Linked DNA regions of Struthio camelus. The protein of the gene in region 2 interacts with the protein of the main gene of each other region in a pairwise test. Links are inferred from orthologs where the notes say so. Each region holds a gene or a part of one and is shown on either strand. Other genes may lie near its edges.

Evidence for each region. The genes of interacting proteins can lie anywhere in the genome.
Region 1: the proteins of ZCCHC10 (region 2) and PRR13 interact in binary tests that used the Homo sapiens proteins (3 or more experiments, as listed by UniProt). The two-hybrid records come from large-scale screens. The link is inferred for Struthio camelus from reciprocal best matches to the Homo sapiens genes ZCCHC10 and PRR13.

Annotation. Positions count from the first base shown.
Region 1 is NC_090969.1:3,336,292-3,343,892, reverse strand, and holds the start of PRR13 (proline-rich protein 13), read left to right. Parts: upstream 1-4,380; 5' UTR 4,381-4,443; intron 4,444-6,512; 5' UTR 6,513-6,541; coding exon 6,542-6,560; intron 6,561-6,690; coding exon 6,691-7,016; intron 7,017-7,101; coding exon 7,102-7,152; 3' UTR 7,153-7,601. Other genes in the region: AMHR2 (anti-Muellerian hormone type-2 receptor), read left to right, coding at 709-823, 1,225-1,385, 2,713-2,860, 2,955-3,091, 3,872-4,093. UniProt on the Homo sapiens protein: Negatively regulates TSP1 expression at the level of transcription. This down-regulation was shown to reduce taxane-induced apoptosis.
Region 2 is NC_090954.1:2,125,714-2,133,505, forward strand, and holds the start of ZCCHC10 (zinc finger CCHC domain-containing protein 10), read left to right. Parts: upstream 1-4,761; 5' UTR 4,762-4,828; coding exon 4,829-4,974; intron 4,975-7,792.

The DNA.
Region 1 (7,601 bases), on a different chromosome or scaffold from region 2:
TGCCCACGTGTATGCACAGACTGCTGTGGGTGGGCATGGGTGCTCTGGGTGCCCACGCAGGTGCATGGGCTGCTGCAGGTGTGCAGGGGTGCTCTGGGTGCCCACGGGAGTGCACTGGCTGCTGTGGGTGTGCATGGGTGCTCTGGGTGCCCACGCAGGTGCATGGGCTGCTGCAGGTATGCAGGGGTGCTCTGGGTGCCCACGGGAGTGCACTGGCTGCTGTGGGTGTGCATGGGTGCTCTGGGTGCCCATGCACGTGCACAGACTGCTGTGGGTGGGCATGGGTGCTCTGGGTGCCCACGTGTGTGCATGGGCAGCTGTGGGCGTGCGTGGTGCTCCAGGTGCTCCACGTGCTCCAGGTGCTCACGCGCGTGCGCGGGCTGCTGCAGGCATGCATGCACGTGCACGGGGTGCTCTGGGTGCACATGTGTGTGTGCATGGGGTGCTCTGGGTGCACACTGTATTTGTGGGGTGCTCATGCACGTGCACGGGGTGCTCTGGGTGCACATGTGTGTGTGCATGGGGTGCTCTGGGTGCACACTGTATTTGTGGGGTGCTCATGCCCGTGCATGGGGTGCTACCAGCTCGCATGGTGCCTGTGGGGTGCTCTGGATGCACGCACGGGTGCACGGGGCGCTGCGGGGGTGCCCGGGGGGAGGGCCCGGGTCCCCGTGTGTGCGTGTCCCCAGCGTGTGCCCGTGTCCCCAGGGCTCGCTGCGACACTTCCTGCGCCAGCACGTGGGCACGTGGGCCGGCAGCCTGCGCCTGGGGCTCTCGCTGGCCCGCGGCCTGGCCTTCCTGCACCAGGAGCTCTGGCGTGACGGTGAGTGGCGCCCGCACGTGCACCGAGCTCACCTGGCCTCTGCAAGCACCCCAGGGTGCTCTGCACATGCACCCAGCTCACACGCTCTCTGCAAGCCCTCCCAGGTGCCCAACGCGTGCACTGAGCTTGCTTGCTCTCCGCAAGCACCCTTGGGTACCTGGTGCATGCACGGAGCTTGCCTGGACTCTGCGTCACCCCGGGGCGCCCTGTGCATGCACCAAGCTCACCTCTCCAGTGCAAGCACCTCTGAGTGCCCGGTGCATGCACCGAGCTCACCCAGTCTCTGTAAGCGCTGCAGGGCCCTGTGCTTGCACCATGCTCACCCCACTCCACGCGAGCACCCCCGGGTGCCCCCCCCGGAAGCGTCTGTGACATCGTGTTCCCCCCCCCCCCACCCCCAGGCCTGTACAAGCCCAGCGTGGTGCACCGGGACCTGAGCAGCCAGAACGTGCTGGTGCGCGAGGACGGGACGTGTGCCATCGGTGACTTCGGGCTGGCGCTGGCGCTGCCACCCCGCGCCCAGGCCGGCAGCAGCGCCCGCCACGCCGTGCCCATCCGCAAGGTGCCGGGGAGCCCCGGGTGACCCGCGGCGGGACGGGACCCTCTTCTCCGTGCTGGGGGCACGGGTGGGAGCGTGGGTGCATGCCAGGCAGGGGGGCGCACGTGGGAGCACAGCCCTGGTGCAAGGAGGGACCTGGTGCAAGGGGGGGTCCGGTGCAAGGTGGGTGCTGGTGCACGTGGCAGCATGGCCCTGGTGCAAGGAGGGACCTGGTGCAAGGTGGGTGCTGGTGCACGTGGCAGCATGGCCCCGGTGCAAGGAGGGACCTGGTGCAAGGAGGGACCTGGTGCAAGGGGGGGTCCGGTGCAAGGTGGGTGCTGGTGCACGTGGCAGCATGGCCCTGGTGCAAGGAGGGACCTGGTGCAAGGTGGGTGCTGGTGCACGTGGCAGCACGACCCTGGTGCAAGGAGGGACTTGGTGCAAGGGGGGGTCTGGTGCAAGGTGGGTGCTGGTGCACGTGGCAGCATGGCCCTGGTGCAAGGAGGGACCTGGTGCAAGGTGGGTGCTGGTGCACGGTGGGTGCTGGTGCATGTAGGAGCATGGCCCTGGCGCAAGGCAGGCCCTGGTGCAAAATGAGACCTGGTGCACGTGCAAGCTGGGCCTGCCCGGCGAAAGCCGCGTCCCAATGCCCGTGCAAGCACTGCAGCGCCTGTGCGAGTGCTGCGGCACCCGTGCAAGGCCCGTGGGGCCTGTGCAAGTGGGGGCGATGCCTGTGCGAGCCCCGTGGGGCCCGTGCAAAGGCAGCAATGCCCGTGCAAGCCCTGCAGTGCTGCTTGCACAGGACCCATGTAAGCCGGGCAATGCCCCTGCAAGCCTCGCGGGGCCCCTGCAAGCCGGGCAATGCCCCTGCAAGCCTCGCGGGGCCCCTGCAAGCCGGGCAATGCCCCTGCAAGCCCCGCGGGGCCCCTGCAAGCTGGGCAATGCCCCTGCAAGCCTCGTGGGGCCCCTGCAAGCTGGGCAATGCCCCTGCAAGCCCCGCGGGGCCCCTGCAAGCTGGGCAATGCCCCTGCAAGCCTCGCGGGGCCCCTGCAAGCTGGGCAATGCCCCTGCAAGCCGGGCAATGCCCCTGCAAGCCCCGCGGGGCCCCTGCAAGCTGGGCAATGCCCCTGCAAGCCGGGCAATGCCCCTGCAAGCCTCGCGGGGCCCCTGCAAGCTGGGCAATGCCCCTGCAAGCCCCGCGGGGCCCCTGCAAGCCGGGCAATGCCCCTGCAAGCCCCAAGAGGCCCCTGCAAGCTGGGCAATGCCCCTGCAAGCCCCGCGGGGCCCCTGCAAGCCGGGCAATGCCCGTGCAAGGCAGCAGGGCCCAAGCGAGCACTGCGGGTGCGCGCAGGCGGGCACCCAGCGCTACCTGGCACCCGAGATCCTGGACGAGAGTCTGGACCTGCGGGCCTGGGGCAGGGCGCTGCGGCAAGCCGACGTCTACGCCCTGGCGCTGCTGCTCTGGGAGATCCTGTCGCGATGCCAGGCCCTGAGCCCCGGTGAGCACCCGCGGGTGCTCCCCGCCCGAGGCACCCCCCACCCACCCACCCCCCGGCCGGGGCACGGGGCTGCCGCTGACCCGACGCCCCGCAGGCCGCCCCGTGCCCGAGTTTCGGCTGGCGTACGAGGCCGAGCTGGGCGCCAGCCCCACGCCGGCGCAGCTGCGGCGCCTGGCCGTGGAGGAGCGCCGGCGGCCGCTCATCCCCGCCGCGTGGCACCGCGCCGGGCAGGTGAGCCCGCCGCAGCACCCGCCGCCCTGCGCGGGGCGGCCCCGGCCCGGGAGCTGCTTGCACGGGGCGCTCGTGCCCAGGGGGGTGCAGGGGTGGTGAGGCTGCCCGGGTGCTCGCGCCCATGGGGGTCCTTGCACAGAGTGCCTGTGCCCAGGGCTGTCCCTGCCCGGGGTGCCCAGGGGGTCCCAGGGGTGCCCAGGGGTGATGAGGGTGCCCGGGTGCTTGCACCCACGGAGGTCCCTGCACAGGTTGCCCATGCCCAGGGTGCTGGGGGGGGTCCTGGGTGCCCACGGGTGTCCCTGCTATGGGTGCACAGGGGGTCTCAGGGGTGACAAGGGTGTCCAGGGCTGTCCCTGCCCCAGGGTGCCCATGGGTGTCCCTGCCCCGGGGTGCCCAGGGGAGGGCTTGGGAGTGCCCAACCTGGGTGCCCATGCACGGGAAGGTCCCTGCCCGGGGTGTCCGTGCCCAGGGTGCCCCAGGGTGCCCCTGCCCCGATGACGATGCTGAGGGGTGCCCATGCCCAGGGTATCCATGCCTGGGGTGCCCAGGGGTGCCAAGGGTACCCAGGGAGGACCCTGCCCGGGGTGCCCCTGCCCAGGTGACGATGCTCAGGGGTGCCCATGCCCAGGGTGCCCAGGGCTGACAAGGGTGCCCAGGTGCCCGTACCTGGGGAGGTCCCAACCCTGGGGTACCCCTGCCCAAGCACCCAAGGGTGCCCATGCCCGGGGTGCCCAGGGGTGCCGGCGCGCACCCCGGGGTGCTGAGGCGGGCGCCCCGCAGCCCTCGGCGCTGCTGCAGGAGGTCCTGGAGGACTGCTGGGACCCCGACCCCGAGGCCCGGCTCACGGCCGAGCGGGCCCACCAGCGGCTCCAGCGCCTGGCCGCCGGCCCCCCCCAGGGTGCCCCCCTCCCAGGGGACCCAGGCGGCCGGGCGCCCGCTGACCCCCCCGCTGCTGCCCTCCACAAGGGGCCCAGGCGTCCGGGCTCCCCGTCCAGCAGCTGACTAGGAGGTGCGAGGTGCCCCCCTCTCCGATCCCCCCCAATTAGGGCTCGGTGCAGAAGGGAAACTGAGGCACGGGGTGGCCTTGGAGCAGCAAAGGGGGGGGGGGAGCCCAGGCGTCCGAGCCCCCACCCAGTGGGTGCAGCGAGCCCAGGCGTCCTGCTGCCAACCCTCCCCGCCCCCTTCTCGGTGCAGGGGGCCCAGGCGTCCTGGCTACCTTCCCCCCACCCCGCCCATGCAAGGGACCCAGGCGTCCCGGCTCCTCCCCCGCTCTTGCCCCGGGGGAGGGCCCAGGCGTCCGGCTCCTCCCCCGCTTCCTGCGGGCGGGGCCGCGGAGCGAGCGGAGGCGGCAGGTTGGATCGGACCCGGCCGGGTCCCCCCCCCCCTTCCCCAAATCCACCCCGGGGCCCCTGGATCCGCCCCGGCCCCCCCCAAATGCCTCCTGCACCCCCGGAACCCCCCCTGCACCTCCTGCTCCCGCTCTGCACCCCCCCTGCACCCCCAAATGCCCCCTGCACCCCCAAAACCCCCTGCACCCCCTGCTCCCTCCATGCACCCCAACTCCCTGCACCCCCAAATCCCCCCTGCTCCCGCCCTGCGCCCCAACCCTCATGCACCCCGACCCCCCTCCACCCCCAAAGCCCCCTGCACCCCAACCCCTGCACCCCCAATGCCCCCTGCACCCCCAAAGCCCCCTGCACCCCCTGCTCCCACCCTGCTCCCCAACTCCCTGCACCCCCAAATCCCCCCTGCACCCCCAGAGCCCCCTGCACCCCAAGTCCCTGCACCGCCTTGCACCCCAACCCTCATGCACCCCGACCCCCCTCCACCCCAATGCCCCCTGCACCCCAACCCCTGCACCCCCAAATCCCCCCTGCTCCCACCCTGCGCCCCAACCCTCATGCACCCCGACCCCCCTCCACCCCAAAGCCCCCTGCACCCCAACCCCTGCACCCCCAATGCCCCCTGCACCCCCAAAGCCCCCTGCACCCCCTGCTCCCACCCTGCACCCCAACTCCTTGCACCCCCCTGCACCCCCTGCTCCCGCCCTGCGCCCCAACCCTCATGCACTCCGACCCCTCTGCACCCCCAAAGCCCCCTGCACCCCAACCCCTGCACCCCCAAACCCCCCTGCACCCCCAAAGCCCCCTGCACCCCCTGCTCCCACCCTGCACCCCAACTCCCTGCACCCCCCTGCACCCCCTGCTCCCGCCCTGCGCCCCAACCCTCATGCACTCCGACCCCTCTGCACCCCCAAAGCCCCCGGCACCCCCAGAGCCCCCTGCACCCCAAGTCCCTGCACCGCCCTGCACCCCAACCCTCATGCACCCCGACCCCCCTCCACCCCAAAGCCCCCTGCACCCCAACCCCTGCACCCCCAAACCCCCCTGCACCCCCAAAGCCCCCTGCACCCCCTGCTCCCACCCTGCACCCCAACTCCTTGCACCCCCCTGCACCCCCTGCTCCCGCCCTGCGCCCCAACCCTCATGCACTCCGACCCCTCTGCACCCCCAAAGCCCCCGGCACCCCCAGAGCCCCCTGCACCCCAAGTCCCTGCACCGCCCTGCACCCCAACCCTCATGCACCCCGACCCCCCTCCACCCCAATGCCCCCTGCACCCCAACCCCTGCACCCCCCTGCACCCCCTGCTCCCGCCCTGCGCCCCAACCCTCATGCACCCCACCCCCCTCCACCCCAAAGCCCCCGGCACCCCAACCCCTGCACCCCCAAATCCCCCTGCACCCCTAATGCCCCCTGCACCCCTGCTCCCACCCTGCTCCCCAACTCCCTGCACCCCCAAATCCCCCCTGCACCCCCAGAGCCCCCTGCACCCCAAGTCCCTGCACCGCCCTGCACCCCAACCCTCATGCACCCCGACCCCCCTCCACCCCAATGCCCCCTGCACCCCAACCCCTGCACCCCCAAATCCCCCCTGCACCCCCAGAGCCCCCTGCACCCCAAGTCCCTGCACCGCCTTGCACCCCAACCCTCATGCACCCCGACCCCCCTCCACCCCAAAGCCCCCTGCACCCCAACCCCTGCACCCCCAAATCTCCCCTGCTCCCTCCATGCCCCCAACCCCCCTGCACCCCAAATCCTTCGTGCACCCGCTGATCGCCCCTGCAACCCCTGCACCCCCCAAATGCACCTGCACCCCGGTGACCCTGCACCCCCATTCCCACTTACACCCCCAAACCCTCCTTGTGCCCCCCGCACCCATCACCCCCCCCACCTGCCAATCTCCTGCTGCCCCCCCTGCCCCCCCAACCCCCCCAGAGGCCCTGGCACCCCTGGGTGCTGCCCCACACCTGAAAGCCCCCCGGGGAGGGGGTGCAGCAGGGCCCCGGACCCCCCCGCAGGTTTTGGGGGACCTCCGCTGGCTATTTGGGGTCCCCGCTCACCCCGTGTCGCCCCCTCCCAGGTCGCGGAGCCATCACCCACTGCGGCGCCATGTGGGACCCCAGCTCCGGTAAGGGGGGGCAAACCGGGGTGCTGAGGGGGGACCCCCAAAATGGGGGGGGGCTGCTCCGAACCCCCCTTGCCCCCTTGGGGCAATGAGGGGGCTCGACGTCCCTCTAATTTTCTCTCCCCCCCCGCAGGGCAGCCGGGCGCCCCAAACCCCGTGTACCCCCCAAACCCCGCGTACCCCCCCCAGCCCGTGCCCCCCCCGAACCCCATGTACCCCCCGCACCCTGCCAACCCCCCCCAGCCCCCCTACCCCCACCCCGGGGTGCCCCCAGCACCCATGGGGGGCCCCGGGCAGCCCCTCGGCCCCCCTCCCCTGTACCCACCGGGGCCCCCTGGGTGCCCCCTGCTGCCACCCCCCCACCCCGGGGTGCTGCCCCCCCCCGGGCTGGACGCCAAGGCAGCGAGGAAGATGAAGAAGCGGCTGAAGAAGGCTCAGAAGAAGCACAAGGCTGGGAAGGTGAGGAGGGGGCACCCCGGGGTGGGGGGCACCTGGGGGCGTTCCCCCCCCCCCCACTGCCACGAGCGCTCTCGTGTCCCTGCAGCGCTCTTCGTCCTCGTCGTCGTCCTCCTCCTCCTCCAGCGACTCCGACTGAGGCCGCCGCCACTGCTGAGCACCCATGTCCGGCTGTGACCACCCGTGACCACCCGTGACCGCCTGAGCCCACCCATGCACCTGTGACCAGGGAGCACCCAGGACCACTCGTGCCCACCCGTGCCCACCCATGTACCTGTGACCACCAAGCACCCGGGACCGCCCATGTCCAGCCGTGAGCACCAGTGACCACCCATGCACCCGTGACCACCAGGCACCTGTGGCCACCTGAGCTCACCCATGTAGCTGGGACCGCCCCTGTCCACCGAGGACCACCTGTGACCACCCATGTCCACCCGGGACCACCCATGCACCCGTGGCCACCAGGCACCTGTGGCCGCCTGAGCTCACCCATGTAGCTGGGACCGCCCCTGTCCACCAAGGACCACCTGTGACCACCCATGTCCACCCGGGACCACCCATGCACCCGTGGCCACCAGGCACCTGTGG
Region 2 (7,792 bases):
ATTGGGAAGAATGAGGTTAGTATCTGGAAATTCAAACCACTAGAGGCCTTGGCAAAAGAATAACATCAGCGGAGGTTTTAATTAGAGAAATAAAACATTTCGATAAAATCACTTAATTTTTTCAGACATTTTATTTCATAAGTAATGTCAATGTTTTTCCTTTTTTTCTCCTCAATTAGGAAATGCTACGATTTTCCACAAAATTCTAAATGTCACTGGTGTTAGTCACTGGCATGCCGAAAAACATAGTATGTGTGTATGTAATGCCTTTTCCCAAGTCATGAGACTAAAATGGCTCTATTCCTTCAAAACAGCCAGAAATGGTTGAGTAGGCAATTATTTAACATTCCTGCAAAAGCCTGGCATGTTCCTGACCTCCTAGGTGGACGGGACTTGATTCTGCTCTGATTTACACCCATGTATTATAACTGGAAGTGGGAAAGACATTACTGCAAGTCAAAGTGACAGAAAATAGAACAAAAGACCATCCCATACCTCAGTCTGTGTCTACATTGTGACTATTTAGAAAACCTTAGCCAAATTCAAAAGAATTGGCTTTTGAACTAAAACTAGTAACATGGAGCTTCGCGTGAGCTTGTTTTCTCTGCAAAGAAGCAAAGCAAACTAGTCAACACTGACGTACTACCTTAACGTATTACCTTGTGTAAACTCAAAGTTAGGGAAGGTACAACAGAGTAGAGGCAATATATTGCAGACAGGGTGTGATTCAAGTCTATTTACTGTATTCCTTATCACTGAGGTTTTTTTCTGCCCTACAGTCTTGCCTGAATAAGGACCTTCTGTGTTTCTCTCTCCCTCTCTCTGCCTTTTATTTTTTACTCATGCTGAAAATGCTAACAGTTCTATAAACAGGAATATGGTAATCAGTGTGAATGTCTTTTTAATATCTATGTCCGCTTTGGATTGTGCTTTAATTTCTAATTTTTTCAGGAAGGAATATGTGATATGACTGGCTTCTCTTTGGATATTTTCTTAAAGAGAGCTTGGGAGGAGAATACAGAATTTTAAAACGTCAAGTAACATTGTCTCTAGTGCTCCTGGTTTGTCATTATTTTCGTTCAGCATTAGCACTATTAACTACTTGACTGTTAGTCATTTTGGAAGATTCATCACAGTTTTGGGTAACCGGGATTAGAAGACAGCAGCCTTGGCAATGGAGGTTTAACCATTTATTCATGACATAAGCTCTTCCTAAGCCGTGGAAAGGGAGGTATGTTGGTTCTGACTACATTTCTCCTGTTCGGTGTACAGTCCCTGAACAACTAACGTGACACCTTTTCTTCATAAGCAGTACGTTTGCACAGAAAAGTGCTGGGGTGAAACCGTAGCGTAAACAGTCTCTCTGATGGGCTGACACACAGCGGCTCAAAGTCTGTGTCACTGAAGCTTCAATGCTTTCCCCAGATTTGTCTCCTGTGTCGTCTGTGTACCTCCTCCCTCTGCTGTGTAGAGCGGGGCACATTTTGGAAAGTAATTTCCTTGCCCAGCATATTTAGAAACAGGTTAATGATACTGCAACTTTAAATAGCAACCTAATGTGCAAAGGCAGGATTTATGGGCACAGTCAGTTCATTGAGTAGCAGCAGCTCCCCTGAACCGTCCCCAGCCCTTGCGAGTGAGCCCAGGGCTGTGCAGTGACTCTGCACATTCAGTCTGGAGGGCGCTTGAAGTCACCTTCTCTGGTATGTTAATCAGTGCCCTGGTGAATTACCTCTGAACGGAAAGAGAGGCTGTGAGATCCTGTTTTGGGTTCAAAAAAGTCTGCAGTAACCTGCAGACTTTGTAGTCACAAGAATACTTTCACATTGCCTCAGGTAGAAATATTTTAAGTGGATTGTTTTAATAAAAGTTATATCTTTGAAGTCTCTGTATAAGGAAAAGCCTATCTACTCTATGGAGAATTTTTTGCTTCTGAAGTCAGAAACCTTGTTATACTGGCAAATTTAGGGAAATTTAGCTCTGCTGCATTAACACACAGGTACTAGGGACAATCTAAATGGTATTAAGTATAACATAGATGTTGTTATCAGTTTATAATTTACTCTAAGATTTTAAGTGATACTCAGGTAAAAAAAGGATCAACAGACAGGAATTTATTATAAAGCATAGATTATTATAAATACCTACTCTCAGCTATTTCGCTTTTCTGAGAACATGTCTTAGAACAGTCCTAAAACAGGAAATTCTTCTGTCTTACTTTCTCCAATAAAAGTGAGATGCCAGACATCAAGATTCAAATACTGCAGCCAAACTCTATGCTGCGGAGAACAATCATTTATAACATGCCAGGTATCACACATCAGAATTTAGCTAAGCTGTCAGATATGACTAATCACAGGTTATCACAGAGAATCATCAGAAACAGGACGATGATTAGATACCAGACAAAGTGCCAGATATAGAAGAAAATAGGATGCACAGAGTAACAGCCACTAACCTAAGACATTACAATTACAGTGTTTGGGGACAGGAACTACCATAATACTCAACAATTAGTCACACAGTAATTAGTTCTGGTGAGTTGAAGTCATTTACATCTAACAGAATCCCTCAGTAAAGATACTTACCTTTCCAGTGAGATATTTAATTGATGCCATTGAACTCAGCAGATGTTGTTGTTACCATCGCTGTGATTACCAGTATTACGTGTGACACGCAGCAGGAAGTTCTGGCTCTAGTATCTCCTGGCTGTGTCCTGATCTTGCACCATCAGAAGTGTAGGACCTCTCTGCCTCATGCCTGCTAATTCAAATAAGACCTGGGATACTCATCATGTTAAAGCATCAGATTTATCAGAAAAGTAGTAGCTTATAAATGTTGTGTTACCTGAAAGAATGATGCAGAAGCATATTGATTGTTGGTGGAACACTGTACAGGAGCGAAAACATAGCACAATCTTATTGCTATATTAAATATGACAGATAAATATATTTTTTCTTATATGTCTGTGACTTACTTTAAAATATAAACTTATATAGGCATGTGTTCTCACTTCTGTTACATTCCTATTTTCCCTCCCCACAAATTCTGTTGTGCAATGTTCCCACCCTTCTACCTTGACTTGAGATAAGCGTAAGCTTTTCTGAGCAAGGGCTGTCTTTTATTGTATTTCTACAGTTCCTAACAGAGTATGGTCCTGATCCAACTGGTACAGTTGGATTCTAATTAACTTAAGAAAATATAATGCATGTTTTTGTATTATATATTAAATGAATGCCACCGACTCACAGGAAGCACACTTTAAAAAGCTACATAGCTGATAATAAACCACTATAAATTGGTAGCAGTCCATAAATTTCAGCAAATGTAAAAGCCCAGTGGAACAGCTGTTTAACTAATGTCAGTCATCCATATGATATGATAGTGCTGAATGAATACTGAAAACGGCTAGATATGATGTGCTTCCAGGATACTAATGTTAGGAGAAATCCCAGCTCAGCATTAAAAAATCTGTTTCCTTGAGGATTTTTGTAATGCAGATCCATATATTATTTTAACACTGATCTCATGAGACAACGATAAGTTTCGATACAGCAATTAAGAGGCAAATATATTAAACCAAATTCCCTGCTTCCCTGAATTTAGGATAAGGGCTGCTCTACCTGGGCCAGCTGGCAAAGACTCCCACGGGGCTGCCTGCCAGCTCTGCACAGTCAGAAAGCTCAGCCACTGCTCTTCTTTTCTTCTGTCCCTTGACCTCTCCTCCTATGCCAGAGGCTGTAAGGAGGTGACGTAGGAGCCAAAAATAACAGCTGCTGTTGGCACAGCTGGGGGACTTCACCCTCTTGGGCTGAGTGGGGTGGAGGAAAGACATTTGCCTTATGATTCCTAGATATATCTGAACTGTATTTACCGTCAAACACAGAACACATTGACTCATGCAGGGTCAACATGACTTATCAGCATCTCCAGTCTCTGAAAAGTGATTCGTATTTAATGTATTATTGAGCCATGGTTATGCATCCACGTGTGTAGCAGAATTAATCTTTTCAGTTATTCTGAGACGTTCTTTTTCTATCAGTGCAGGGTATAGAAACCTGAGCTGCTACAAATGAATGTGCTGGTAAACGCTTGCAACGTTTTAGCAGTACTAATTGGTTAAACTGCTCCTTTCTGAGATCTAGCTCTTGCGAACGTTTCTTGGGCTCCTTCATGGTATAACCAGAGAGCTATTACGCTTTCAAACTTTTCACGTACCTAAAGGTTCTTGGGAACTCATAGCAGGCTACCTTTAGGTGTGCTGGACTGCTTATGTGAAGGAAGAAAAGTAAAATTGCCCAACTCTTGCAACAACAGACGGGCCAGCTCAGTGGCTCAAGAAATTTTTCAGCGGCACCATGTCACCGGCTCTGTGGTTAGCGTTAGGTGACGGGATGGCATCAGGGGCTCTGCGGTGGTGCTGGGTGACGGGATGGGGTCGCAGGCTCTACAGGCTCTGTGTGTTGGTGCTGGGTGACGGGACGGCGCCAGGGGCTCTGTGTTGGTGCTGGGTGACAGGATGGGGTCGCAGGCTCTGCAGCTGGTGCCCTCCGGTCATAGTGAGGGATGGGTTGTCTGCTGCTGGGTTTAGATATTTCAAATACACCCATCCTAAGAAAAAGAAAAGCTATTAACTGGGAGGCAGGTTCCTGGGGGCGATGAAGGGTGGAAGATGGCGGCGAGGCCCCGAGGCGGCGGTTGGCCGGGGCCGCCGGGGCCGGCACTTCCGGCATCCCGCGGGCACCATGACAACGCGGGAGGAGACGAGACGAGCGGAGCGGCGGTCCTCGCGGTGCGTCCTCTCTGGCCGCGGGATGCCTCGCTCTCCATGGCAGCGACGCCGTCCTACCCAATAGGGAGGGAGGAGGAGGAGGAGGCAGTGGCCCGGCATGCAGCGCGGCAGCCCGCCTCACTTCCCGCCCGGGCCGCTAAGATGGCGACTCCCATGCACCGACTCATCGCTCGGAGACAGGCGTGAGTGCGGCGGGCGGCCGAGAGGCGCCCCGAGGCGGGGGAGCGGCCGAGGGGCGGCTGCGGAGCCGGGGCGGGGGCTCTGGCCGTGGGTTCCCCGAGCGGGGGCCTCCCCTGCCCTCCCCCCGGCTGTGGGGCCCCCCGGCTCTCTTTTGGGGCAGTTTCGTGCAGAGCAGACGCCCTTCACGGGTGCCCCGCTGTTGGCAGCGTGGTGCTGCGGGTGGGTAAGGGAAACGCTCCCAAGTGAGGCTTGGCTCATCCTGTTAACCGGGCTGAGACTCTCTTCGTTTCGGAGCTGACAGGGTTAAGACCGTATATGGTGTTTTGGGCTCCCTGAACCTGAAGGGTCCCGTGTTTTTTGTAAGAGTTGCGGAATTAGTGATTTCTGGCTCCATCTTGCGCAAGGTGGAGGCTTTAGAGGGACTTGAGATAGCAAACATAAGCTTATGTTTGCTTTCTTGTTTAAAAACAAAACAAAAAACCAAAAATTGTGTGTGTCCTCTGCAGCAGAGTGCAGGAGGTTTTCTCCCTCTGTTGTAGGGAGTTATGGTGATTTAAAGAATTAATAAAATCATTACAGTGAAATGATCAAAAATGAAAGCAGGATTCCTGAAAAGGAAAGGCAATCTCCCCATTGACTAAAACTTTCCCTTTCGTTGCTGTTAACGCCAGTTAGCAACTATTTGGGAAAAGGCTGCCTTATGGGTTTAGCATGTCGTCCCTTTCAGTGAAGCGTATAAGACCTTGTGATGCAGGTAGGCACAGGTCTTATCGTGTCACTCTTGTCAGTCAGGTGTGGGGGGGACCAAATAATTTCTGGCTTCACATTATAATATGTTTAGTAAATTACTAAAAAAAAAACCCGGGGTGGGGAGGGGAGAAAGCAAGCACCCTTTACTCAGTTATGCTTATTGCTTTTGGGTGATTCTCTAAATATCGGGGAGATCTGATTGCCAAATGCTGAAATGAGGAAAAGCCAATGTTTTTTGATTACTGACATTAAGTAAAGCAGATGCCTGTGTTCTACTGCCGTGTTTTGAGTTTTTGGGTTTTTAGGGAGGGGGTTTGTTCTTAGGGATTTTTTTGGCTGATCATAGCATTAGAAACAATATGGATGGTTTTTGCTGCCTCTTTACTTTTTCATTAGCTAGTATAATTCGTTTCTTACTTTCCAATGGAAAATATACTTGGAATGTCAAAGTACTTGCAGAATACTTGTTTTTTTTAAGTTGCTATTTTATATTGGTCATAGAATGATTTCTTAGTGCGTGTTATTTCTCCATGTGCTTGATGAGAATTGCTGAGTTGTACGTCTGCCAAGACTTGCTTCTAGGTTGTGATAATTGATCTGTGTGAAAAGTTTGTTTTAGTCTTGAGCTTTTAATTACTGTTAAAACTTGTCAGTGTTGACACTGTCTTTACAAATCTGTAGTTCTTGAGCTATTTTGATCTGTTCTTCCTAATTATTAATAATTAATAAGTAATTATTACTTCCTGTAATTGCTTATTATATTGCTTTTAGGATTTTATCTTAACATTTTAGTTTGCATAGAATTGTCTACATCGGTCAGGTGAATAGCATTAAAGCCTTGGAAATGCTGAATTATATTATTGTTGCTTTGACTGCCCATTCTGTTCCTATGGTCTGGGCTGGCCTGAGATACAAAGCAACAAAACGTAAATGTTTTTCTATCTTGATTAAGAGGATGAGAGAGTTCTCGTTCTGCTCATGTGTAATGACTGCATCAGAGTCAGAAGTCCAAGGCAAGAATTACACCGGACGCTTTCCTAGTAAAGAAATAAGTTACCGGTTTTGTCCCAGTTTTCTTTGCAGTGGTTTAATACTAGCAAAAATCAAAATGTAAATGTAGTTTGTGTGTTTAAAAAAGTTTTTGTTGCAGTAGTTCACTTGTATTTGTCTTCTCAGTGTAAACTTTCCTACATGCTAAAGCTTGCTGCGTTCTTGTGTGAATGAATAATAGGTATATAAAAACAGTAACATGTTTTGAGCATACCTGACGAAGTGAAACATCGTGTTTCTGTCCTTAGTGTTAGGGTACAGCCTTAAACCTACCTGAATGTTATTTGGAAAGGAAAAGAAAAAGGGATGATTTTTGTGTGTGTGTGTGTGTATGAAACTTAAATCAATTTCCCTGCAGCACATGTGGTATACTTCATTTATTTTAAGAGCAGGCCCACAACTAAACATTTTTTAATTTTATGAAGCCTTTCAAAGCACCTGTTACATTATTTGTACTTTAACCTCTTCTTTCAAGGGTGCTGGAGTGTGAGGTGGTTAATGTTTGGGCATCCTTAGATGCACCCGGAGGAGCGCTGCTCATCAGCAGCAGTGTTTTAAGTATAGTTTGTAACCATTCAGGAATATTTTGCTTATGTTTGTCTAAGTACCACACTTACAGTCTGTTGCTTATCCCTTTGCTATCTAGAACCTCACTTGTTCTACAGTTTTATTTGTTGATTGAAATGAGCTAAAGTTCTGGTCTTTAAAAACCTTTTCTGTGTTTGTTTTTTGTTTAACATAAACAAGTGGACTTATGGTCTAAATGAGGTACTATTTTGTTTAAGGCAAAGTGCATCTTGCACAGTGTGACGGTTATTCAGATACTCTTTTGCAGGCATTCAGAAGAGTTTTGTGTATTGTTCAAGATGTCTTTTAGGACACAGGAAGAAGATGGAACTTAAACCATTCACAAGACCTTGTGTGTGGGTTTTGTTTTTGTTTTTTCCCCTCAGGACTAAAAGTGTTGTTTCCTGTTGAAGTCAGAGTTAATTGTGCAGAGTTGATTGCAAGTTTAATTAG